Macaca mulatta: one gene and its partners. The protein of the gene in region 3 purifies or fractionates together with the protein of the main gene of each other region. This does not show direct contact. Links are inferred from orthologs where the notes say so. Each region holds a gene or a part of one and is shown on either strand. Other genes may lie near its edges.

Region 1 (5,847 bases), on a different chromosome or scaffold from region 3:
CACCTCTGGTTCCCCAGATGCTAAGGATCGGGGCCCAGCTATGCCAGGGATGGGGCAGGTTGGGTGGGGTGGGGAACGGAGACACTAAGGACAGCCTGGTGCAGATCAGTGGGGCCAGCACTGGCCATGTGGGAACAGAGGTAAGGAAACGTGAATGGTGTTGGTCTCACGCCTCTCCTTTCACGGCACCACATGCCAAGCCCTCCTGAGTACTTGTGGCCCTGCTCTTCCAGTGCCTAGGGGCTGGGGGGTGACAGGCAGGGCTGGGGACAGGATGCCCCCTGGCACAGCCCCATACACCCTCTTCAAAGGTCTTTGAGCCCAGGAGGAAGCAGTTTCCAAGTCCAAAGTCACAAGAAGGCTCCTCCCAGGCCCACACCTTCCAGGAGGCACCAGGTAGCCACCCTCCCCTGGGACACAGCACGCCTGGCTCCGGTGCTGCATGCACACTGCCCTCTAGGTGTGCCAGAACACACCCCTTTGCACACCCACTCCACACACACTGGTGTCCCTTACCCACAATCCACCTGCCCTGTGTGCAAGTACCCACGCGTGAATGTGTGCACACATGTGGTGCTGGACGTACACTAGAGTACACGCACGTCCTTGCCCTCTGTATGCAGAATCCCCTGAGAACCCCAGGACTCCAGTACCCCGGGGGCCAGCTCCAGACTCCTTACACACACAAACTCCCACACCCAGCGCCTCTACACAGCACATTCCTGTCCCTGAGCACAGATGGGACCAGGGAGTCCCAGGCCACCCCCAACTCTCAACTGACAGCATCCTCGCCACATTACCTTCTGCTCAGCACCTAGAAATGGGGACTCATGACCTTCAGAGATAGCTGCCAGGACTGTCAAGCATGGGGGGATGGGACTGTGTCTCCCCCTTACACCTAGGCAGGCTCTTCGAGCTGTCTGGCTCACTGTCACCCACGGATGCCTCTGGAGGCAGAAATCGTCACAATAAGGAGGCTGGGGAGAGACTGGTGGGTGGCGACTCTGGGAGGCAGCGACCCTGCACTCATGCAGGTCAGCTCTCTTCCCTCACTGGGCTCCCCCAAATGCCCTCATCCCTGCATCCCCTCAGCTCCCTGGGCTAGTGGTGCAGGACCCAAGCTGGCCTACACTCTGTTCCGCTGGCCTGGGGAAGCTGTGGACCTGGGAGAAAGTGGGGTAGGGCTGGGGGCTCCCTCCGATCCCAGAACAGGGTCCGGGTAGGGCAGGGGATGGGAGGGCTTGGCACAGGGGGCCGTGAGGACATATCCAGGTTCCCTCCCTTCCCACCGGGCCTGTGTCCCTCCTCCTGGTCACTGTGCCACACGCTAAACACCAGGACCAGCCTGGGGCTTCCAAGGTTCACTGCCCTGAGCAACTCCAGCAGAGGGAGCCTCAGCCGGTGCAGTTCTCATGTCCAGAACCACCTCTCTCTCGCTGTGGGCCTGCCCCTTTCCTTGCCTTCTGCAAGAAGTGACACCTAGGTCTCACCAGGCCCCAGCCGAAGGCCCTTCGAGACACCTGCCCAGTGGCAGCCTCTAGGCCCTGACTTCAGCCCCAGCCTGAGAAGAGAAGGGTTCTGGAGCAGAGACTGACTCTAAGCTTCTTTCTGCACCTCTGTTCATGGGACTTTATTCCCAGAAACCTCCCCGAGGACAGAGGGCACCAGGGGAATAGAACCTGCCCAGCCACACTCCTGCAGCCCCAGGCTGCCTGAAGCAGGAGGTATTTCAGGGAGACTTCAGGATGAACTTCCAGCTGGGGTCACATGATCTGCCATGCGCATCCAGTGCTTATTATCAGTGAATGCATGGGACCGTCCTCCTGGTGGAGGGCTGGGGGCCTGGGGTGCTACATTCACCCCTGCACCGCCTAGGTGCAACAGTGTCTCTGGGTGGGCTGTGCCAGAAGGGAGGCAAGGGAGAGTGCCCGGGCTTGGACCTCCCCTCGGAACCCCCGCAGGGGCACAAAAGGAGCTTCCCTGGCTCGCAGCACCCCACCCCCACCCCAAGCTGCATAGCAAGAGCACTGCGGAGCCACACTACATCCTGCCACCCCCTCCTCCATCCCACAGCGTCCCCGCCCCCCATCACTGCAGCACAGAGCCCCTATTCCCCTCAGCAGAGGCCCGTACACACACCCCGGAGCAGGGAGACGGAGGCAGATTCTCCCAGAAGGGGTGACCCTGTGGGGGCTGGGCCTATTGTTGCCCCCTCCCCTCCAAGCCAGACTGTTAGGTACCCCCACCTGGTCTGCTCCGCAACCCAGGCTGGGCAGCTAGGCCTAGCGAGGTGGCTGCAGCAGCCTGGCTGTGCCAGCCCCTCCCCCAGCGCCGCGGCTGCCTCTGCAGCAGGCGGAAGGGCGCAGGGGCTTTATCCCTCAGGGGCCGGCTGGGCACCCCGGGGTGGGGGTGCGGGGCGGCCTGGACATTTGGGGGGATGGATCTGCAGCCCTCCCCTGCGACAGGGGACGGCCCCTTCTCGGGTGTCCCACGCCACAGGCCGTCGCGTCCCTCCCACGGCCGAGGCTCCACACCTCCCGGACCGGCTCCGGGCCAGGGTCCGCCTGCTCCGGCTCTGGCCCCCGCGGGGGTGCCGTTCGGGACGTTGGGGGGTCGCGCAGATCCGCGCTGGATCTCAGGTGGCCCTGGTGGGTCCCGGATTTTTGTCCCCCCCGTTGCGCACCCAAAGAAGGAGCTGCGTGGAGAAGGACGGCAACGCGGCGGGCGGGCGTGGGCTGGGCCCGGGTCCGCCGGGCGCTGCGGAAGGCGCGGAAGGGGCCTCCCTGTCCCGGGCGTCCTGGCCGGCCGGGGCCGCTCACTCCGGGGCCGCCTCCTCCTCCCGGGCGCCCGCCGGGTGCCGCTGCCCCAGCGCCCCCGACGCTGCGCCTTCCGCCCCCCGGCCCGGGCCGGTGAACCCAGTCCCCGGCGCCTGCCCCCGTCCCCGCCCCCGCCCCGCCCTGCCGGCGCCTCCGCTCACCTCGCTCGCGCTCGCCTCGGGGGCGCTCCGGGGACCCGCGCCGCGCTCAGGGCGCCCGCTCGGCTGCGCCGTCCATGGGCCCGGCGGGGGCCCGCGCAGCCGGGGCAGGGGCCGGGGGAGCGCGCGGGCCGCGTCGCCGTCGCCGCCGTCGCCGCCGCCAACGCCGCGGGGAGCGCTCGCTCGGGCCGGGGCGCGCGCACTGCGGGCGGGCACGCGCGCTCGCGGCGCGCATCCCAGCCCCGCGGCTCGGCGGGCGCGGCCGGGCGGTTCCGGCGCGGCTCGGGCTCGGGCTCGGGCTCGGGCTCGGGCGTCCGGCGTCCGGCGGGGCGGTGTGGGGGGAGCTGGCTCGGCCGCCGCGCTCGGCCGCGAGTGACAGGCCCGGGGCGGAGGGCGGGGCCGCCGGCGGGGATGAGGTCATGCCGAGCGAAAAAAGCCCCTGACGTCACCTGCAGCCAATCAGCTCGCGCGGCTCGGGGGCAGGTGACGTCAGCGGAGCCCGGGCTCGGGGTGAAGCCGAGGCGGTGGCCGCGGGGGGCGGGGTGCAGGGTGCGGGTGGGTCGCGCTGCCGCCGCCTTCTGTCCTCACCCCGGGACCGGCTCTTAAAGGGACCACGCGGCGTCCGGGCCCCCGCCTCCAGGAAGCCCTCCCGGCCCCGCGCTCCGCGTCACCCGGGCCCCCAGCCGCGTCGCACAGACCCCGGACGGTCCAGCCGAGCGGCCCCGGGCGCGACGTCCTCCCCCGGCCCGGGCAGGCGCCGGCGCCGCTCCCCACTTCGCCCGGCCTTTGTTGGCGCGGGGCCGCCGCGGGGGAGCCCTCCCCAGACCCGGGCGCGGCGTTTTACCTGCAGCGGCTGCGCTCGCCCCGCCGCGACCCCCGCAGGACGGAGCCGGAGCCCCCTGCACCCGGGCGGACCGGGGACCCTCAGAGGCGAGCCGGCTGCCTCGGGTCACACATCCGCGAACTCCGGGGGCGGGCTCCCCAGGACGCCGCCGCCCCCCACGACCCCCGCCCTCCCGCTTCCGTGGAAAGCCGCCGCGACGACCCCCGTGCGGGTTGTTGAGGGGCCGTCCTCCGCCGACCGCTGTGGGAACACCTCCGCGCGTGCGGCGGGACGCGGCGAGTCAGGGGCAGGAAGAACGCACGGGTAATTGCACCTTGGGCAGGTGTTGGGCGGGAGCAAGGGGGTCAGACTCGCGCTGCAGGGGGAGGGCGGGGAGGCCTCGCTGTTCCGGAGGAAGGGGACAAAGACCCCTGCCTAGGAGCCTGGGAGTCTTTGAAGGTAATGATTTTTTTTGGTAGGGGTGTCTCCAGACACCCCAGACATTTCTAAAAGGCCTCCTCGCCGCTGCCTGGTGGAGAGGGAGCGTGGGGGGATCCACCTTCTGCCCCCAATCCCCCAACCAGCCTGGACCCCCCAGGGTCACCCTGGGGCTCTGAAGGGGGCTTCGGTCGCTGGTTGAATGAAGGGCCACAGAAAATGAAGCCGGCGCAACGACCGCAGAACCCTCAGTCGGCACCAGGACCCTGGAGCTCAGGGTGCGAAAGGTGATGGCTGGGGGTGGGGAGGACTGTGGGCAACAGGGGGTCCTGAGCGGGGTTCGGGGCTCCCCCTTTCCATACTCAGTCTTCCTGCCAGCCTCAGAACTGAGTACACAGTTGGCGATTAATAAGCGCTTGCAGCTCCCCTCCCTGGCCAGCCTGAGGGGAGCGGCAGTGGCCCTTATGGGATAGGGGTGGCGGTGGAGTGCGTTCCTGGCACAGAGCTGGCACACAGCACAAACGAATCCCTTGGCGAGAGTGGGGCCGTCCCGGAAGGAAGCCCTGGGAGCCTAGGGGTTGTTGGGGTTGGGACTGCGCCCCGAAGCGGGAGGGCCCTGCGAGAAGGGAGGCCCTGGCTGAAGGGGGATCCTGAGGCCGGAGGTGCCAGACCCGGATGCGGGGCCAGGTGAGTAGGGCTGCAGGATGCAGCCTTGCTGGGTTTGAAAAGTGGCGGAGGCTTGGCCCTGGGAGGGGCAGGAGGATTCAGGCTGAGACCCAGAGGGGGCAAAGCAGGTCCTTGAGGAGGCACACAGGCCTGGAAGGGCCTGGGACGCGAAGGCGTGGCAGCTGTTGGCCATTAGATAGAGGGGCTGTCGCCTGGGGAGAAGCCTCACCTGGCTTGTTCCCCTGCCAGGCACAGGTGAGCCGGATGGGAAAAGGACGGGCGTGTCTTCTGCCCAGGTGGGATGTGGCCAGCATCTGCCTGTGGCCTGGGAGTGCCCATTGTCCCCTAAGAGCTCTGGTTATACCCTGGGCAGCTACTGGCCAGGCTGGAGCAGGTGGCAGGCAGCGACCTTGAGCCCTTCCTGGAGGCTGTCAGGGGATGGTTTGGAGGGGAATACAGCTTCCCTGGCAGGGCCTGGGCTGTCCCTGGGGAGCGGAGTGCCCTGGGTGGCGATTGTTATAATCCTCGTGGTCATTTTCATGCAAATAAGCACTGAGAGCGTTAGGTTCTGCCCCCAACCAGGGTGGAGGGCTAGGGAGGTGGCACCCCGGAGAGGACGGTGGCTTTTCTGCAGCCCCGCTGCTTGGTTCCACGTTGCCTTTACACCCAGCAGGTGCCGGCCCGGGCGGTGGGCGCAGGGGCCTGGGTGTCCGACCAGGTCAGCTCAGCTCAGCTCAGCTCAGCTCAGCTCAGCTCAGCTCAGCTCGGCGGCCGCACCGCCTCCTGGCACAGGTGTGGACTCGGGTGGGAGGCGCTACCCAGGGAGGGGGCTGCGGTGTCAGTCCCGGCCCGGGCCTGTAGACGCCGCCTCGGGGGTCTCTGGGGCTGGGGAGGATCCTGCGAGGGGCCAGGGAGGCTCCAAGGCAGCGGCAAGGGTCTGGCGGCG
Region 2 (6,134 bases), on a different chromosome or scaffold from region 3:
CAGGACCTCAGCTGAGATCTGACTGTACAGTGTGTGCCCTGATTCCCTGGGCAGCGACACTAGAACAAGATCAGGTTTGGCACCTATTAGCCAACAGCATCAATAAGAACAAAAGCCTCAGGGTGGAGGTTGCTGGCCCTGCAGGTGCTGACGCAAGCCTGGAATGAAGGCCCTTTGTGAGGTGGCCCTGGGAACTGGCAACAGGTTCCGTCCTGCCAGGAGAGGGACGACAGGAGCTGGGACCTGTGTAGGAGATGGTTCTCGCCATGCTGGGGGCTCTGCACCCCCGGGCTGGGCTCAGCCTCTTCCTCCACCTTATCCTGGCAGTGGCACTGCTTCACTCCCAGCCTCTGAGGTGACTCCTGGGGCACGGAGGGGCAGGGCACTCGGGCTGGATGGCAGAGGTGCTGCCCCTCCCCTCTCTGGAGTGGGGCTGGCTGGCCCTGGTACCCTGGGTGTTGGAGGGCTTGCCAAGTGCCCCCACACTGGGCCATCCCCCCATTCACAAGGAGGTGGCGGTGGCTTTCTGGGCCAGGGCCGAGCACCCCAACCTCTCCCACAGGTCTCAGCAGTCTGTTCCTGAGGCATTTTCCGCACCCCTGGAACTCTCACAGCCACTCTCCGGCCTGGTGGATGGTAGTATCTCTCTCGTCCCCTTCCCCTTCCCCTTCCCCTGCCCCTCCCTGACAGTGGAGACTCCCCTAAGGGGTGCCCCAAGTCCAGCCTTCAGGGGCTTGTCATCCCAAACCACATATGTTCAAGGGTGCCAGCTGCCCCTCCCACCCATGCCCTCCTTTCTCTCTCTAGACTATGGCATCCTCCCCAAGCACCCGTGGCCGCGAGGGCCTCGACCCCGCCTGTCCCGGGCCCAGCAGCGCAAGCGGGATGGGCCCGACCTTGCTGAGTATTACTACGACGCACACCTATGACCCAAGGCCCCCATAAAGATACTACACATGACAAAGGCTTGGCTTTCCTGGGCTGGGAGTGAGATGGGGACAGGAGGAGTCCATACAGATACATCCACTGCAGTCCAGACAGGAAATGGCACTTTAATAGTTGGGGCCAGGGTGACAGGACCAAGATGGGGCTGGCCTGTGTCAGTCAGGAAGCCTCCCTCCTGCTGGGACAGGGCCTTGCGGCAGCTCCTCCTCCCCACTGAGGTCCTAGGCCTGCCACAGGCCAGCATGCCGGTGAGGTCAGTGGCAGGAGCCACCCAAAGTCCCGCAAATGACGGAGCTGAGAACGGGGTCTTCACCTCCACGTGTTGCCATTTCCTCACTGGAAAGTCCTTGGGAGGTGGCTGGGCTCAGCCTGAGCTCACGGCTTTTCGGTGGGGGTTGGGGCAGGGGCAGGGTGGGCACTTGCAGGTGGCACAGGCTTCATCAAGGCAGGACACGGGCTTCATCAAGGCAGGAGCCAGAGCGCCCGAGCCCTGGCAGGGGAGGTAAGGCCCAGGATGGGGCAGGGCCATGTGCTCCTGGAATGGACATCCTTCTCTGCCAGAGGCCTGCCCCCCAAGCCCTGCCCCTCCCAATCCCCAGGCAGCCCACTCTGCCCTCCATAGATGAATCTAATCCCATATATTACAATAAACCGCATTTGCTTCTCCCCATTGCCCCACCCTCCCCTACCCTGGGCCAGCAGCCCCCACTTCCTCATCCCCTGGTGGTAGCAGGTGCCCCTCCTCAAGCAGTGCCACATCCTGTCAGCAGCCAGCTGTCCTGGCACTGGCCTGAGGGCCGGGGGATGCAGAGGGCGGGGCTGCACGGCTACTCCAGGTAGATATCTTCTGTGGGGCAGGTGTACTCCACAAACTGCTTGTAGAACTGCTGGAATGCTCTCCTAGAAGCCAGGGGACACACAGATGGCTCAGACCGCCACTGGCAAGGGAGGAATGGGATCACGACCCAGGGTTTTCCCACCGGAGCCTTGGGGCCTGAATGCAGCTCTGGTTCCTCTGGCCGGGGCCACTTGGCTCTGTTCTCTACAGAATTGCCATTGCATTTCCCAGTAAGATGTCAGCTGAAGACGTGGCTCAGCAGCTACCAAGCCTGGAAGCCACTCCTCAGGCTCGCCCTGCCCTGCCACCCTCCCTCCAGGCCACTGCACTGGGGTCTGGAGATGGTTCTCCAGAGCTGCGGGGGAAACCAAGGGGCAAAGCTGAGCACCAGGAAGCAGCCCTAGGGCCTGGGATGAGGTGTGCTCCCTCGGGCTGGGTGCTCAGCAGGATGCACACGTACCCCACGGACTCTGCCAGGGCTTTGGTGGAGTCTTCAGACACAAAGACATGGCAGGCAAACCGGTGGTCGGCGGGGTGCTTGGTGATGAACCCAAAGTACCTGCAGGGACAGGTCTGTCTGTGCTGGGACAGGGGCTCGGCCCACACCCAACCACCTGAAGGCTGCAGACCAGCCGTGCCTCCTCCACTGCCATCCCACCCCCACTTACTTGTTGTTCTTTGGATGATATCCACAGAAAGAGATGTTTTTTAACTGGAAAAAGTGGCTACATTTATTCCCCTACAGGAGGGAGAAAAGAAGCAAGAGGGCGGTCACCTGGCCTGCAATGAGGGTGAGAGGAGACGGCCTCTTCACTCCAAGTCTTGGGGGAAAGCTGGGGGCCATGGAAGGAAGGGGCTGGGTTGGGAGGAGTCACCTTGGCCTCCTGGGAGTCATCGGCCTTGACGCCTATCTTCACGCCCCGCACGCTGATCTCCAGGACGCAGCTGGAGGGTGGGTTAAAGTGCACGGTGAGCCGGCGGGTGGTGGCAATCTATAGGTGACACACGGAGCCACGTCAGCTGCTGTCTGTTCCTCTGCTGATCCCTCCTGTCCCAGGGCCTGAGCCCTGAGGCCTTTACTGCCTCTAGACACCTGTATTCCTCTGCCCCAGGGAGCATCCAAGGGAGGAGAAGGGAGAGGGCTCAGGTACCTTTTGCATAGCGGCACAGAGGACGTCATTGCCCTTGTGATAGGGAACCTGGACTGAGCCCAGGAACTTCACCCGGAACTGGTCCACCCAGTCACTGTTTTTGGCCAGGGCTGGAAAGCAAGTGTGAATTGAGGAGGGGCAGAAACAGCAGGAGGGAGCTGAGCAGCCAAGCGAAGGAGGGCGGGTAAGGCACAGGGAATGGCAGAGCCCACACAGGCTGCCACAATCCCTGGCTGCCCAACTTGGCCGGGCCTCACTTTGCTCGATCGTGAAAAGGACCTAAAATCACCTCCACTCAGCCCCCCACCTGTCTGGCTAAGATCTGGAGTACACGTTCACCCAGCAGCAAGTCAGGGCAGACAGATGTGGTGGCTGGGGGCACAGGCCAGGCAGGGAACGCTACCTGCCATGTGCTCGGGCTCCTTGGTGACCTCGATGGCGTAATAGGCAGGAAAGACGCCCCGGGCACCGGTGCGCATGTTGTAGGCCTCGTACCAGTAGTCTTCAGCCTGGAGCTCCACTAGCAGAGGGTCATCCACTTCCAGCTCAAGTTCGTCTTCGTGTCGAGGCACAAACCTGTCCCCAGCAAGGACAGGTGAGAAATTCGGCACCAGGGCCTGTCCGGCCAGGCCTACTCTGCAGTCTGGGAGCCACAGCAGCATCGTCATTTCAGTAAACATTTGCAAAAGCATCCTGTGTGCCTGTGGCAGTGCTAACCCCAGGGGAGAGCAAGGTCAAGCAAACATGCGTCTGCCGTTGAGGAAACACAGGCCAAGGGAGGGTGCGGGCAGGGACCCTCTAAAATGGAGAGGCTGTGGGAAGCGCAGGCTTTTGTCTAGAGAAGGGTCAGGTGGGGTGTGGGCAGGCATCCTCTTGGTCACCCTCCTGGGTGCCCTGCCCCCGACCAGACTAGGTGCGCAGTCCTGGGATCCCTCACCGTAGCCATCCTCTTTGTCACCATACTCTGAGTCCCTAGAGAGTGGACACTGTCCTCCCAGGGCTGAGTGGATCAACGAATGCTGATGGCAGGGGTTAGGCTGAGGCCATGTAGGGGTGACAAATGGAGGGTGGTGTGTGGCCCAAACTGCTGCGTGGCCAGGCCCAGCCAGCCCATGGCTCTCACCTGAATATGGCCCGGTGGGTCTGCTCCTGCTCCTCCCCATTGATGATGCAGGAGAACAGCCCGAAGGACTCGGCACCTGCAGGTGAGGGGGTATGGCTGGATGGGAGGTCGCAGCTCTGATCCAGGTTTAGCGGGGCAGGTAGAAGCCTCAGTCCTAACCAGATGGGGCCTGGGGTCGCCTCCCAGAACACTTCGCATTTTGGCTCTGTCCCGCTAGGGAACCCCCACCCCCCAACTGCTTCCCCTTGCTGACTCACTGGAGGAGCGGGAGCGGCCACTCATGAAGACGTTCAGGAACTTCTTGGAGAAATGGACGTCGGGTTCGTCAGGCGTGGAATCCTCGGAGAGGCAGGCAGGGGGCTGGGGCCGGGGGGCCTCCTCATATTCCTCTCCGATGGCCGACTCATAGGGCGAGGAGACAGAGGCACAGTTGTCATAGACGGTGGCCGAGTCACTCTCGTCACTGTAGTCTCCGAAGCACGGCCGCAGGCTCACCAGCTCCAGCTGTGCGTGCTCATCCACCACCAGCGTGTACTTGACCGAGTCGTAGGACAGGGCGCTGGTGTCCGAGCTCAGAGACGCCCGTGGAGGTGGCGGCGGCTCCCCCAGGCTCCCCCGCCACCCTCCGCCTGGGGGCTCAGCCCGCTCTGGGGACGACAGGCAGTCGAAGCCCTCCTCCTCTTCACTGATGGAGGGGTGTGGCCGCCCTGCCGTGGAGGGGTAGGCAGCAGGGTCTGGATCGGAGCTGACCGACATCCGGCTCTCAGTGGGAGGCAGGAAGGCGGAGGTGGGCTCTGCAGGGTCTGGGGGCCTCTGCACTGGGGTCAGGTAGATCTCCTCAGTGGCCTCTAGTCGCACATCGGCCTGGTAGTGGATTCGGTCTCGATGCGAGTGGCCCCGACCCCCAGGCGGGGCAGCAGGGGGACCCCCCGGAGGTGCCATCTGGGTGGCTGTGCTGCGGCGGCAAGGGCTGTCGGTGGAGGTGCCCCGGTCTGTGGTGGGGGCGGGGCTGCTCTGGGGGGGCAGCTCATCGCTCAGGCAGATGTGTTCATGTGGCGGCGTCTGCTCCCCTGGAGAGCAGGCAGGTCATGAAGGCAGGGGCTCTCTCCCAACTCCCAGCTGCCTGCACCCGCCACTCTCAGCTTGGTGACACAGAAACCAAGACAAAGCCTCTCTGGGGCCAGTCAACTCCCTCACGCTACCACTGATCTCACCCCCTGGATGGGCTTGTGCAGGGATGTGGGTGGACAGTTTACCTCTACTCAGCCCTTTGGAGACTGCAGGGTTTGCTCTCTGCAGTGGGGACTGAGTCAGGGCAGGCGGAGGTCCAGGTAAGGAAAAGGGCCCTGACTTACCTGTCTTCAGGGGTGAGGATGATCGAGACACCCGATCCTGCCAACTGTGCTTTTTGCCCAGAGAATTATTATTCAGTGTGTCCTGTGCGGGGAACAAAAGGCTCTTGTGATGGAAGTGGTCAACAGTGCCCGGCACAGGGAGGCCCCGGCCCTGCCCCCTCAGGCCATCCCTAGGGCCGTTTGCTGTGTTCACCCCGCCTCCACTGTCAAAGGCCTCACTCCCAACTCTCCTCTGGAGCAGGCAGGAAGGGTGGCAAGTCACAGCCAGGCTTGCTGGCTCCGGATGGCCTTCCGCCTTGCTCAGGGAAGCTGGTCAACCCTCAGGGAGATGCTCTTATCACCCTTAACAAAGGTGGTGATGGTCAATGTGTGTGGTGGCAAGAGGGGTAGGAGGTGGGGGAGAAGAGAAGCAGGAGCTCTCTGGAGACACAGTCAGATACCCAGTCCCAGACACTGAGGGTTACTTGGAAAATGCTCAAATCCAGCCCAAGTCAGAGACAGGTGATTCTCTGCTCTGGAGCTTGGGAAGTTATGGCCTAGAAGGGGTGGGAACCTTCTGGTAGAGCCTGGAAAAAGCACAAGGAAGGGTCTCCCCAGCAGCTGGCCTGGGGGACAGGGATGAATCATCCCAGTGACAAATCCATAACAGAGTTTTCCTGCACCCCGCACCACAGTGGCACGTGACTGAGGACTGACAGATGCAGTTGTCAGCAGCCCTCCTT
Region 3 (5,344 bases):
TACTTAGATTGGCATTTTGGGTGGGTTATCAACGTTGAAAAGGCTTTAAATTCCATTTCATCTGTAAATGGACGTGACAGCAATCGTTGCAAAGATGAAAGAGAAATGTTTATAAGGAAGTTCAGTGCCTGGCACATCAGTAAAATGCCATCCACCACCCCCTTCACTATGACAAGCCAAAAAGGGTGGCTATTCATACAGTGGTTTTTAAATCTGATGCTAGCCAGGCTGGCGTTTCAAACATGCTGCTGCCATTTATAAAAGATGAATAGGGAAAGAGGCCAGGTGCAGTGGCTCACGCCTGTAATCCCACCACTTTGGGAGGCTGAAGCGGGCGGATCACGAGGTCAGGAGATCAAGACCAGCTTGGTCAATACAGTGAAACCCCGTTTCTACTAAAAATACAAAAATTAGCCGGGCGTGGTGGCACGTGCCTGTAATCCCAGCTACTTGGGAGGCTGAGGCAGGAGAATCACTTGAACCCAGGAGGTGGAGGTTGCAGTGAGCAGAGATCATTCCACTGTACTCCAGCCTGGGTGACAGAGTGAGACTGTCTCAAAAAAGAAAAGCTGAATAAGGTAAGAAAAATATCATACAATCAATTAAAACAATCACTAACCTGAAGGCTGATCTTTTACAACACCATTCTTGCTTCTTTCTTCCCAATCCATGACTTCTTTGTAAATTAGCTCTTTAATAAAAATACAAGTTAAAATGCTTAATCAGTTTCTAAACAGTTTCATTGTATCTCTAAACTCTGCTTCCAAATCAACTGGAACCACTCCAAAGGCACTCCGATGTGTTATTTTTAATTGTAAGATAAGAGTCAATTCAGTAATATAGTCTAAGTGGACCAAAATATTCATGTTTTGATACATTATATCTTTTCTTTTCTTTCTTTCTTTGGGTTTTTTTTTTTTTTTTTTTTTTTTTTTTCTGAGACAGTTTCATGCTGTCATCCAGGCTGGAGTGCAGTGGCACAGTCTTGGCTCACTGCAACCGCTACCTCCTGGATGCCTCAGCCATCCAAGTGGCTGGGATTACAGGTGTTCACCACCATGCCTGGCTAATTTTTATAGTTTTTGTAGAGATGGGGTTTCGCTACGTTGGCTAGGCTTGTCTTGAATTCCTGGCCTCAAGCCGTCTGCCCGCCTGGGCCTCCCACAGTGCTGGGATCACGGGTGTGAGCCACTGCGCCTGGACTACATCCCATCTTTTCCATGCAGCAGTAAGGGAGCAAAACGTGGGGTGGTTCTGGACCCACAAGGGGCTGTATGAAGTGGACTGGCTCCCACAGAACACTGTAAGGGACTGGATACTCTCACATCCATTTCAATATGCTTCTCTACGTAGTTACTTGGGGTTTTCCAAAGGTAGCCGGCATCCACATGTGGGCTAGGAACCCCCGACACTGGCCAGAAATGAATCCACACGCCTAAGTCTTTTCCTTGTTTCAACTTCAACTTTCATTTGTAAGAAAAACTAATTACCTACTAAGTAAGTGATTAGGGATTCCTAAAATGTCAGTATTCATAAACCAGCACTAGCGCGTTGCAACCATTTCCGGAGGCCAGTGAGTGTGCTGTGAGCATGCACTGCTGAGCTCACACAGGCAACCGGCACTCCAGGAGGGCCCCGGGGCAGGACCCACCCTCAGTGCTGACTCACTCTGACTGTGGTTCTCAGTTACTACTGATGCCGCTTCTTAATGAAGAACTGTCAGGCCGACCTCTTCATTATAGGTGCAGTTTGTTGTGGGTGGTCTGGTTAATCTTACAGTGGTAATAATACCTATTTGCATATTTTCAATCTGCAGTTTCCCCCAAACTAGATTTTAAAACGTATGTACAACTACACGGCTTAAAAAAAGCAGGCAGAAGTTCACATGACCCCCAGCCCTGGCTCCCCATATCTGCACACACTGGGAATTCTATAGGTAACATGCAGCCTGTGAACTGGTGTCACCTGAAATTTGCAACATGTTATCAATGTAAGTGTGATGCAATTACTAAGCTCAGTTTACAAACCGATATGTGAAAAGCCATGAAAAAAATGCTATTTTTCCCTCTTGAAGCAAATGATAAGAAATTGATACATGTTCCTCTCTAACTCTGTTCTCTTCAAGTCCTTTTTCTACTGGAAACTGGGGAGAAAGAGGCTAAGTGGGTCGCAGCATTTCTTGCCCCTTCCTGAAGGGAAATGTCACAAAATGAAAAGCCTCTGCTTTACAGGACTGGAAGAAATGTCCTAAGGAAGGATCAAAATAAGCTCCATCTTTACCTTTCCATTCTTCAATTGCATGTTCTCTTTCTTCCAACTGGGCATCATAAATCTGAGGTGGTGGCTAAAAATTAAATCATATGTAAAGTCAATAGTAATGCCTCAAAAAAAATGAGGCACTAAAAAAGGTAAAATCGCTTGGAAGACTTCTAGTCTATTTATGATATGGATTTAGTTTAATTCAACACATGGTTTAATAAAGATTTGTCATGCAATATTGGATCAGCTTTGGGATCAAAATAATTATGAAAAAGTTAACCAAAAAAGAGTTACTATGTTCCTCTTAATAATCACCTGACCTCAAAACACAGACATCTGCCCATCACAGGCTGTTTCCCGAGACCCATCATGGACAAGGCATTGTGCAGGCAGCTATGGAAGGTACTGCTGTTTCTTAGAACAAATTTTACATGTTCTTCATGTGAGAACTCCCAAACCCAAAGTCCAACTCATAAATGGACTGTTACAAAAGTCTGCTTATAAATTGGATTCTTTTTATATAAAACAACGTTTAAACTGATGGCAAAACCACAGGCCATGCCATAAACATGTGTGTCACTCATGGCACGAAGGAAGCCCGCCACTACGCAGTGATCTCCCTCACAGCTAAAGCTCACTCACACCAGCGCTGACACAGAAACACGCACGTGAGCACCGAACTCAGAGTGGAGCTCCTCCAGCGGGAGAGCCAGGAGGCACAAGGCCTTTAGGGAAGGATACACAGACGTGTGATTTTTCAGCAAGCTGCTCAGCCTCTCTGGTTGAGTGGCCTAAACAAGAGGATGTAACCAAAGCCAATGGCACAGAACAGATGCTTAATAAACTATGAGCTCACAGCAGCCTTTGCAAAATGGAGACTGGTATCACCAAAGCGTAAGTTCATTCCTGAGGTCCTCCGAGCAAAGCGGCCCAGGCCTCAGACAGCACTTGGCCTTTTTGTAACTGGGAGCCCCAGATGGAGAACTTGCTACCCATATGTAGCCGCTCTGGACGAGCAGACAAGATCCAAGGAAATACAAGCCCGGCCTCCACATACAAGTCTTTTCAAAACAGATACTCACTGCCTCTGCTTCGGCCGGGTCATACCAGACAGTGATGTACGGGTGACGCAGAGCTTCGTCTACAGAGATCCGCTTGTCAGGATCAATCACTAGCATTTTCGATAACAGATCTCTGGCTTGACTGGCTAGGGTGACAACAAAGATTAGATTAATACACTAATGCTTTTAATATGAAACAAAGAGAATCATACAATAAAGAACTAAATACGACAGCACAGACAGAACAAAGATGTATTAATTTTGAGAAACGTTTGATAGGTTCAAGATGAATATAACACAAATTTTTTTTTTTTTTTTTTTGAGACAGAGTCTCGCTCTGTCGCCCAGGCTGGAGTGCAGTGGCGCAATCTCGGCTCACTGCAAGCTCCGCCTCCCGGGTTCACACCATTCTCCTGCCTCAGCCTCCCGAGTAGCTGGGACTACAGGCGCCCGCCACCCCGCCCGGCTAATTTTTTGTATTTTTTTAGTAGAGATGGGGTTTCACTATGTTAGCCAGGATGGTCTCGATCTCTTGACCTCATGATCTGCCTGCCTCGGCCTCCCAAAGTGCTGGGATTACAGGCATGAGCCACCGCGCCTGGCCATAACCCAAACATTTTTAAGAAAAAGTCAGATGGCCACTTTCATGACAAACCAGGTTTCCAAATGTGGTTTTACGCCTCTGGATCTGCGAGGGGAAGAGAAACCTGGGCCCCCAGGGTGGTGGGGAAGAGCACCAGGCAGCCTCAGACCAATGTCTGGGCAGGGCCCAAGGCTGGGAAACCACAGCAAGGAAGGTGGCAATTGCCGAGCTGCGGGTGGCACTGCCCAGGGTGTGGGCATGAGGCACGGGGGAGTATTTTTCTCTAAGTCACATCAAAATGAAATTAGAACAGACTTTTTAAACCGTGCAACAATCTCACATTCCCACAGGATGAAACACTCACAGATGCTTCTGGCTGGCCTAGCTGTATACAGTGCTGGCAACTTACAGTTTTTTTTTTTTTTTTTTAATCTACAGATTGGTATTTAGAAAAAAAAAAAACAAAAACAAGTTCAATAACTTAGTTAAATATAAGGATCACCTAGGTTTTGGCAATTGAAGTTCACAACCTGAGTAAGCACAGGAATGACTGAGGGTTTTCTGATTAAGGCACAGTTTACCTTAATTTTTTTTTTTTTTTATTGAGACGGAGTCTCGCTCTGTTGCCCAGGCTGGAGTGCAGTGGCGTAATCTCGACTCACTGCAAGCTCCGCCTCCCGGGTTCAGGCCATTCTCCTGCCTCAGCCTCCCGAGTAGCTGGGACTACAGGCGCCGCCACCACGCCCGGCTAATTTTTTGTCTTTTTAGTAGAGACGGGGTTTCACCGGGTTCGCCAGGATGGTCTCGATCTCCTGACCTCGTGATCCGCCCGCCTCGGCCTCCCAAAGTGCTGGGATTACAGGCGTGAGCCACCGCGCCCGGCCCAGTTTACCTTAATCTTAATGTGGACAGAAGAAAATCTCTTCTTTCTCCTTAAGCAATCACACCGTAGTAAAGGCTGCAGGAGGAGGTGGGGAGGACCTTTTCTACCGAGTGACTGTCACATGGCTCCGACTCTAGAATCTGCATTCAAGGGTTCTTTTCACCTGAAAACTTTGTGAATTCCAGTTGCTGTAACTGTAACAAGATTCTTTCAGACTGATTTGATGATTTTTATTTTGGCCAAAGGCTTCAATTAAGCCATGTTATGGAGGATAAAGCTTCCAGACCTTTAAGCTTTCTCTCCTCAGTGCCTTCATACCTCAGACTTCTGGCCTAAAATGACTTTCTCTCCCAAAACTCACAGGTTTTTAGAATACAAACATGAAAGACTGAAAGCGCCACCTGAATTACAAAACACAAGTCTAAGAAAAAAAGGGTATCTTACTTTTTATTTTGTCTCGCTCAGACTCTGATGGGAATATCCAGTCTGGAAAGAGTTCTTCGAATTTGATTCCAGGATACTTTGGTCTGTTTTCTACATAATTCCTCACAGTCGGCT
Region 4 (5,344 bases), on a different chromosome or scaffold from region 3:
CATGTCTATTAACATGCAGTTCTGGTGTTTCTTTTTTTTTTTTTTTTTTTTTTTGAGACAGGGTCTCACTCTATGGCCTAGGCTGGAGTGGCATGGCATGATCTCGGCTCACTGCAACCTCTGCCTCCCAAGCTAAGTACATATAAAGAACTTAACACTGTCCAGTCCATAGTGAGTGATCCTCCCACCTCAGCCTCCTGAGTAGCCAGGGATACAGGCGGGCGCCACCACGCTCAGCTAATATTTGTATTTTTTGTAGAGACAGGGTCCTTCCTATGTTGCCCAGGCTGGTCTCAAACTCGTAGGCTCAGGTGATCCCCCCACCTCAGCCTCCCACAGTGCTGGGTTTACAGGCATGAGCCACTGCACCCTGCCAGTTCTGGTGTTTCTCTAAAGAACTGCCTTCATATATTTTTCTATTCTGGCTCTAAAATAGTTCATGGAATGGTTGTCATTTAAATCCAACAAAACGGCTTGGGCAACATGGAGAAACTCCATCTCTATTAAAAAAAAAAAAAAAAAATGCAAAAATTAGCCAGGCATGCTGGTGTGTTCCTGTAGTTCCAGCTACTTGGGAGGCTGAGGTGGGAGGATTGTTTGAGCCCAGGAGGTTGATGATGCAGTGAGCTGTGATCGCACCACTGCACTCCAGCCTGGGTGACAAAGTGAGACTCTGTCTCAAAAAAATACATACATACTTCCAACAAAACAATATTCCAGTAAATGTTCTCAAAGAGAAACCACAGAATCCAAGGAAATGCCACTTGAATTTCATTTTAACCTTATAAATGATTATTTTTATAATGTATGTAATCCTAGAACGTACTGAACGCTTACTGTGTGACAAACGCTGCTCTAAGCACTCTATAGGTATTTTACACACTCTTATAACTGCCCTATGAGGTAGGTATTACTACTAATCCCATTCATAGATAAGGCTCAGAATCACATAATATAGGCTCAGAATCACGTAATATAATAACTGGAAGAGCCAGGTTATAAGTCTACTTTTCTAAATCCTGTGGAATTACCTTCAACTCTCCCTTGGATGCAGGGACATTGCTGATGATATTCACGGGGTCCTGGCCTCCCAGCTGTGACCAGGCTAAAACGGCCATGGTCCTTTCCCAAACTGATGGAAGAGCCTTGTTTCCCCAAAGCCATATTGCTCAAAGGCTTCAATGAGGGAGAAGAAAGAAGATCTGACAAGACCAGAGAAAGGAGAATCTCTTTAAAGGCAATTTCACACGACACCAATAACAAAGTTTACAGATGAACTAGTTGAAATGTAAATATGGTCACTGGTTTGTTCATGACCATTTACACAAGTTGGTAGTAAAGTTGAGGCCATGTCTTGGCTTTCAGGTCACCCCCTACAGAACAACTTTCAGAGGAGACGCAATTCTGCAATAATCATAAACTGAGCCATCAGCCAGGCTGTCTGAGGTCCAGCTCTAGCGTTAATTAGTACAGTAATCCTATGTCACTTTGACTTCAGTGGACCTCAAAAGTAAATGTGGCTCTAGAAAGTTCTGAGACAGAGAACAGAAACAAAGGAGAGAAAGAAACCATCGTTCAGCCTCAAAACAAAAGAGCCAAACATAACAACAACACTACACTGTAAAACATATTATAAAACAAAAGAAGCTTTTTCAACTGATATCTAGAACAAATTCAAACAAACAAATATTTTAAAATATCTAACAGATTTAGCTGCAATCAGAACATTCATTTAGTGCTCAGTTTGGCTTGAAATGTCCCAAACTGGCTCCTAGTCACTTCCAGAAAACACCACCTCGGCCAGAGTACATTTTCACTGATCTTTATCTATGACAATGTTCCACTCTGCTGACATCCTCCTTCATTGACAGTTTTTTCCATTCACTGACCTTTCATTCACTGCTGCACTCTAGTGACTCCAGTTTCGTTTCATTAATTAACAACAGATGAGACACTGCCTGATTCCCTTGAACCTCTGAAAACTATCTGTGGCCTCACCAGCAACTCAGTTTTGAAACGTGTTTAAAATGTCCCTCTTCCTTTCATAAGTTCTCTTACAAATAAGATCTACTTCAGAAGGAAAGTTCAATCATGCAAACTTTCTGCTCCAAATGGCTGACGGAGACAGAGAATGAAGTGTCCTCTTATCTGCCCTCGTCATAACTTTGTTGTCCCAGGGACTCCAAGCTAGATTCCATTACAAGACATAACATCGACCATTATCCGCTATTTACTGTGAAAAGCAGTACCGAAAAACTGATAAGCTTCTTGAAAAAATTTGCGCATATTTTTTAAAGTTGTCTGAAGACTTGACTCACTGTCCAATCTTGCCAAGTTTCTCCTGTTCCTAATTTTATGCTGTTTATCATCTGGGAATGCAGAAAACGGAGTCATAGTAACCTATATGTGTTTCCCTAACATGGACCTGAACCTAAGAATGACTGTGCCCCCTATTCTGGAAGTATCTGTGCTAAGAGGAAGGAAGACAAATACGCAGACACTTCCAGCCTGCTGAGAAACAGGGATGGGCAGTCTCTGCAGGCAGAGAAGCGTCTTGGCCTCCACAGCTGTGGGTGCACAGGCAGCCAGACCGCAATGCTAAAAACCCATGTTTCTGTTTGTTAGTCTTCCATAAATCCAACCAAAAGAATGCATGTTTACAAATAAAAACATAGATACTACTTCCGACACAGAAAACATGTGGTACATACAGCTTCTAAGGCATTCCTGATTTAGATAACACCTTATCCTAATTCAGCCATGAAAACATTTTCCCTTAGGAGCACCTCCTTCACAATTCCAATCATAAATACGATTTTCTGTAAAAGCAAACGTGAACCACCATTCCATTTTGGGAGGGAAAAATCTGCTAAGCAAAATAAAATACATATAACAACTCTACTAAACAATTCTAATTAGTCACTCTTTTTTCTTCCCTCTCACCCATGCAATCAGTTATAAATCACAGTATTTTCTTAAAATGGAAGTATATTTACATAATAAAAGTAGTACTCTACTGTGGCTTAGTGATATTCTTAAAATGTTTTTAAGGCCAAAGTTCTAAAAATAGATCCCTATCCTTTTAGCAATTCCATGACTTTAAAGATGGTTTCCTGCAGTGAGAGACAGGACCTTTCCACTCATGCCTTCATTTAAATAGGGAGCAAGTCACTAGAGATTTATCAATTGACAGAGCCGCCTTCAAGGAAGGCAGAATCAAAGAGAACTGCCCTCCCACCCTATATTGTGAATGGATTCCATGGTTATACAAAGAAATAATATTGATACAAAGCTCTACTTTATGGAAGACATTTTTCTAAAAAGTCATATGCAAATTTAACTTTTATATTTTAAATAATCTGCATATAGTTCATATGGTTGCACAGTTTTGAACTATGCAGTTAAATTCTTGTTTTTTGTTTGTTTTTGGAGACGGAGTTTTGCTCTTGTTGCACAGGCTGGAGTGCAATGGCACAATCTCCGCTCACCCACAACCTCCAACTCCTGGGTTCAAGCAATTCTCCTGCCTCAGCCTCCCAAATAGCTGGGATCACAGGCATGCGCCATCACGCCCAGCTAATTTGTCCGGCTAATTTTGTATTTTTAGTAGACACAGGGTTTCTCCATGTTGGTCAGGCTGGTCTCCAACTCTCAACCTGAGGTGATCTGCCCGCCTTGGCCTCCCAAAGTGCTCGGATTACAAGCATGAGCCACCATGCCTGGCCATTACATTCTTTTGTAGTTCTCACATAGTTTAATTATTTTGTAAAACAAAACTCCCTTTTTGTAACATAAACACAATCCTTTCAGTTGCTTATTTTAGAATATATGTGAAAAACTAGAGTACACCTTCACCTGTAGAGGACAGTTCTCTCTTCTCTCCATACTGGAAAGAAAATCTGTTGCTTTATGATCACACAAAGGAGACAACTCTAACATTAAAAATGGAAAATAATGAAAATGTTTATTTTGCAGTAAAGTACTTTAATTGCTCTTAAGAGTAATTCTGTTATGCCTCAGTCTGACATGTCTGATTTAGGCAACTTCGTTCTCTAGACACTCACAGACTAAAGTATGGTCACAATTCTTTCAGGATCAGCAGACAGTAAACATGGAGAGTTGAAACTAGTTGAAGAAAAGAAAAAAAAAAAAAGCAACATAATTTCATACCCCTAAAAAAAGCAAACAAAATGTGTAACTAATGTTTCAATGTAGACACTTTGGTCTGGCTAAGCCAAGCCACACAGGTTTGGTAAATTACTCCTAGGAAGGTAGACAGCGGTGACGTGTTTTCCACAACATTAGCAGCATTTCATCTATTTCCCATATAGCCAACTCTCCAACTAGCCGTACTAAAAAGAAAATTCCCAAATGATCTAAAGCATTAATTTAAAGCTTTCATTCCATCCACCCCTATCCCACCATCTACTGGAGCACAGACCAAGAGAAGAGTGGAGAGATACGCATTTCTCTTTCAGGAAGGCTGACAAGTAGCCTGCATCTCACAAAACTTATCCTATAAATGACATCTCCAAAAAAGCTCACCCTGTATTAAACAACTCTATCACCTGACACACTTGGGAAATGGGAAATTCTATCTAATTTTGGTAGTTAAAACATATACAACAGTTACCACATATACAACAAATGAATGAAAAATTTTCAAAGCACCAGCAGACAAATCACTGAACACTAAAATTATGCAACTTGTAATTTCTTATGACTCAGAATGTCCAGATCTTATAACTAAGGATAATATTTATTTATTTATTTATTTTTAAAATTTTATTTATTTATTTATTTATTTATTTGAGACGGAGTCTGGCTCTGTCGCCCAGGCTGGAGTGCAGTGGACGGATCTTGGCTCACTGCAAGCTCCGCCTCCCGGGTTCACGCCATTCTCCTGCCTCAGCCTCCCGAGTAGCAGGGACTACAGGCGCCCGGCTACTTTTTTTGTATTTTTAGTAGAGACGGGGTTTCACCGTGTTAGCCAGGATGGTCTCCAGCTCCTGACCTCGTGATCCGCCCGTCTCGGCCTCCCAAAGTGCTGGGATTACAGGCTTGAGCCACCGCGCCTGGCCAACTAAGGATAATAGTTAAATCAATTCAATCGGCAACATTCAGATGTGTTATTCAAGGACTGGTTCTCAGAAGATGTAGAGTGATACTATTCTGCTGATCTTTTAAATTGGCAATACATAACTATGCCCAGAAAAACTCCTCTTAAACGCCCTGAAACAAAGATTGTTCTAAAGACTTGTGCAACCAGAATAACCAATCAAAAGGAATACAGCCAGAATCTACCACGTGGCCGAATAGAATTAACAAGCTCTGTAAGTAGGAG

Evidence for each region.
Region 1: the proteins of MAPK9 (region 3) and DUSP8 purify together in Homo sapiens (affinity purification with mass spectrometry; 4 studies listed by BioGRID and IntAct, with this or other methods). This does not show direct contact. The link is inferred for Macaca mulatta from reciprocal best matches to the Homo sapiens genes MAPK9 and DUSP8.
Region 2: the proteins of MAPK9 (region 3) and MAPK8IP1 purify together in Homo sapiens (affinity purification with western blotting; 4 studies listed by BioGRID and IntAct, counting the BioPlex papers as one, with this or other methods). This does not show direct contact. The link is inferred for Macaca mulatta from reciprocal best matches to the Homo sapiens genes MAPK9 and MAPK8IP1.
Region 4: the proteins of MAPK9 (region 3) and DUSP16 purify together in Homo sapiens (affinity purification with mass spectrometry; 6 studies listed by BioGRID and IntAct, with this or other methods). This does not show direct contact. The link is inferred for Macaca mulatta from reciprocal best matches to the Homo sapiens genes MAPK9 and DUSP16.

Annotation. Positions count from the first base shown.
Region 1 is NC_133419.1:1,475,045-1,480,891, forward strand, and holds the start of DUSP8 (dual specificity protein phosphatase 8), read right to left. Parts: upstream 3,960-5,847; 5' UTR 3,819-3,959; intron 3,349-3,818; exon of another isoform or gene 2,978-3,348; intron 2,816-2,977; exon of another isoform or gene 2,684-2,815; intron 2,661-2,683; exon of another isoform or gene 2,535-2,660; intron 1-2,534. UniProt on the Homo sapiens protein: Has phosphatase activity with synthetic phosphatase substrates and negatively regulates mitogen-activated protein kinase activity, presumably by catalysing their dephosphorylation.
Region 2 is NC_133419.1:19,710,575-19,716,708, forward strand, and holds the end of MAPK8IP1 (C-Jun-amino-terminal kinase-interacting protein 1), read right to left. Parts: intron 5,495-6,134; coding exon 5,413-5,494; intron 5,128-5,412; coding exon 4,315-5,127; intron 4,134-4,314; coding exon 4,058-4,133; intron 3,511-4,057; coding exon 3,296-3,510; exon of another isoform or gene 3,274-3,295; intron 3,152-3,273; exon of another isoform or gene 3,093-3,151; coding exon 2,935-3,092; intron 2,776-2,934; coding exon 2,659-2,775; intron 2,523-2,658; coding exon 2,452-2,522; exon of another isoform or gene 2,343-2,451; coding exon 2,244-2,342; exon of another isoform or gene 1,846-2,243; coding exon 1,773-1,845; 3' UTR 1,037-1,772; downstream 1-1,036. Other genes in the region: FREY1 (protein Frey 1), read left to right, coding at 396-636, 808-929. UniProt on the Homo sapiens protein: The JNK-interacting protein (JIP) group of scaffold proteins selectively mediates JNK signaling by aggregating specific components of the MAPK cascade to form a functional JNK signaling module. Required for JNK activation in response to excitotoxic stress.
Region 3 is NC_133411.1:189,251,904-189,257,247, forward strand, and holds part of MAPK9 (mitogen-activated protein kinase 9), read right to left. Parts: coding exon 5,231-5,344; intron 3,467-5,230; coding exon 3,342-3,466; intron 2,345-3,341; coding exon 2,281-2,344; intron 692-2,280; coding exon 620-691; coding exon of another isoform or gene 615-619; intron 1-614. UniProt on the Homo sapiens protein: Serine/threonine-protein kinase involved in various processes such as cell proliferation, differentiation, migration, transformation and programmed cell death.
Region 4 is NC_133416.1:14,927,758-14,933,101, forward strand, and holds part of DUSP16 (dual specificity protein phosphatase 16), read right to left. Parts: intron 1,203-5,344; coding exon 1,032-1,202; intron 1-1,031. UniProt on the Homo sapiens protein: Dual specificity protein phosphatase involved in the inactivation of MAP kinases. Dephosphorylates MAPK10 bound to ARRB2.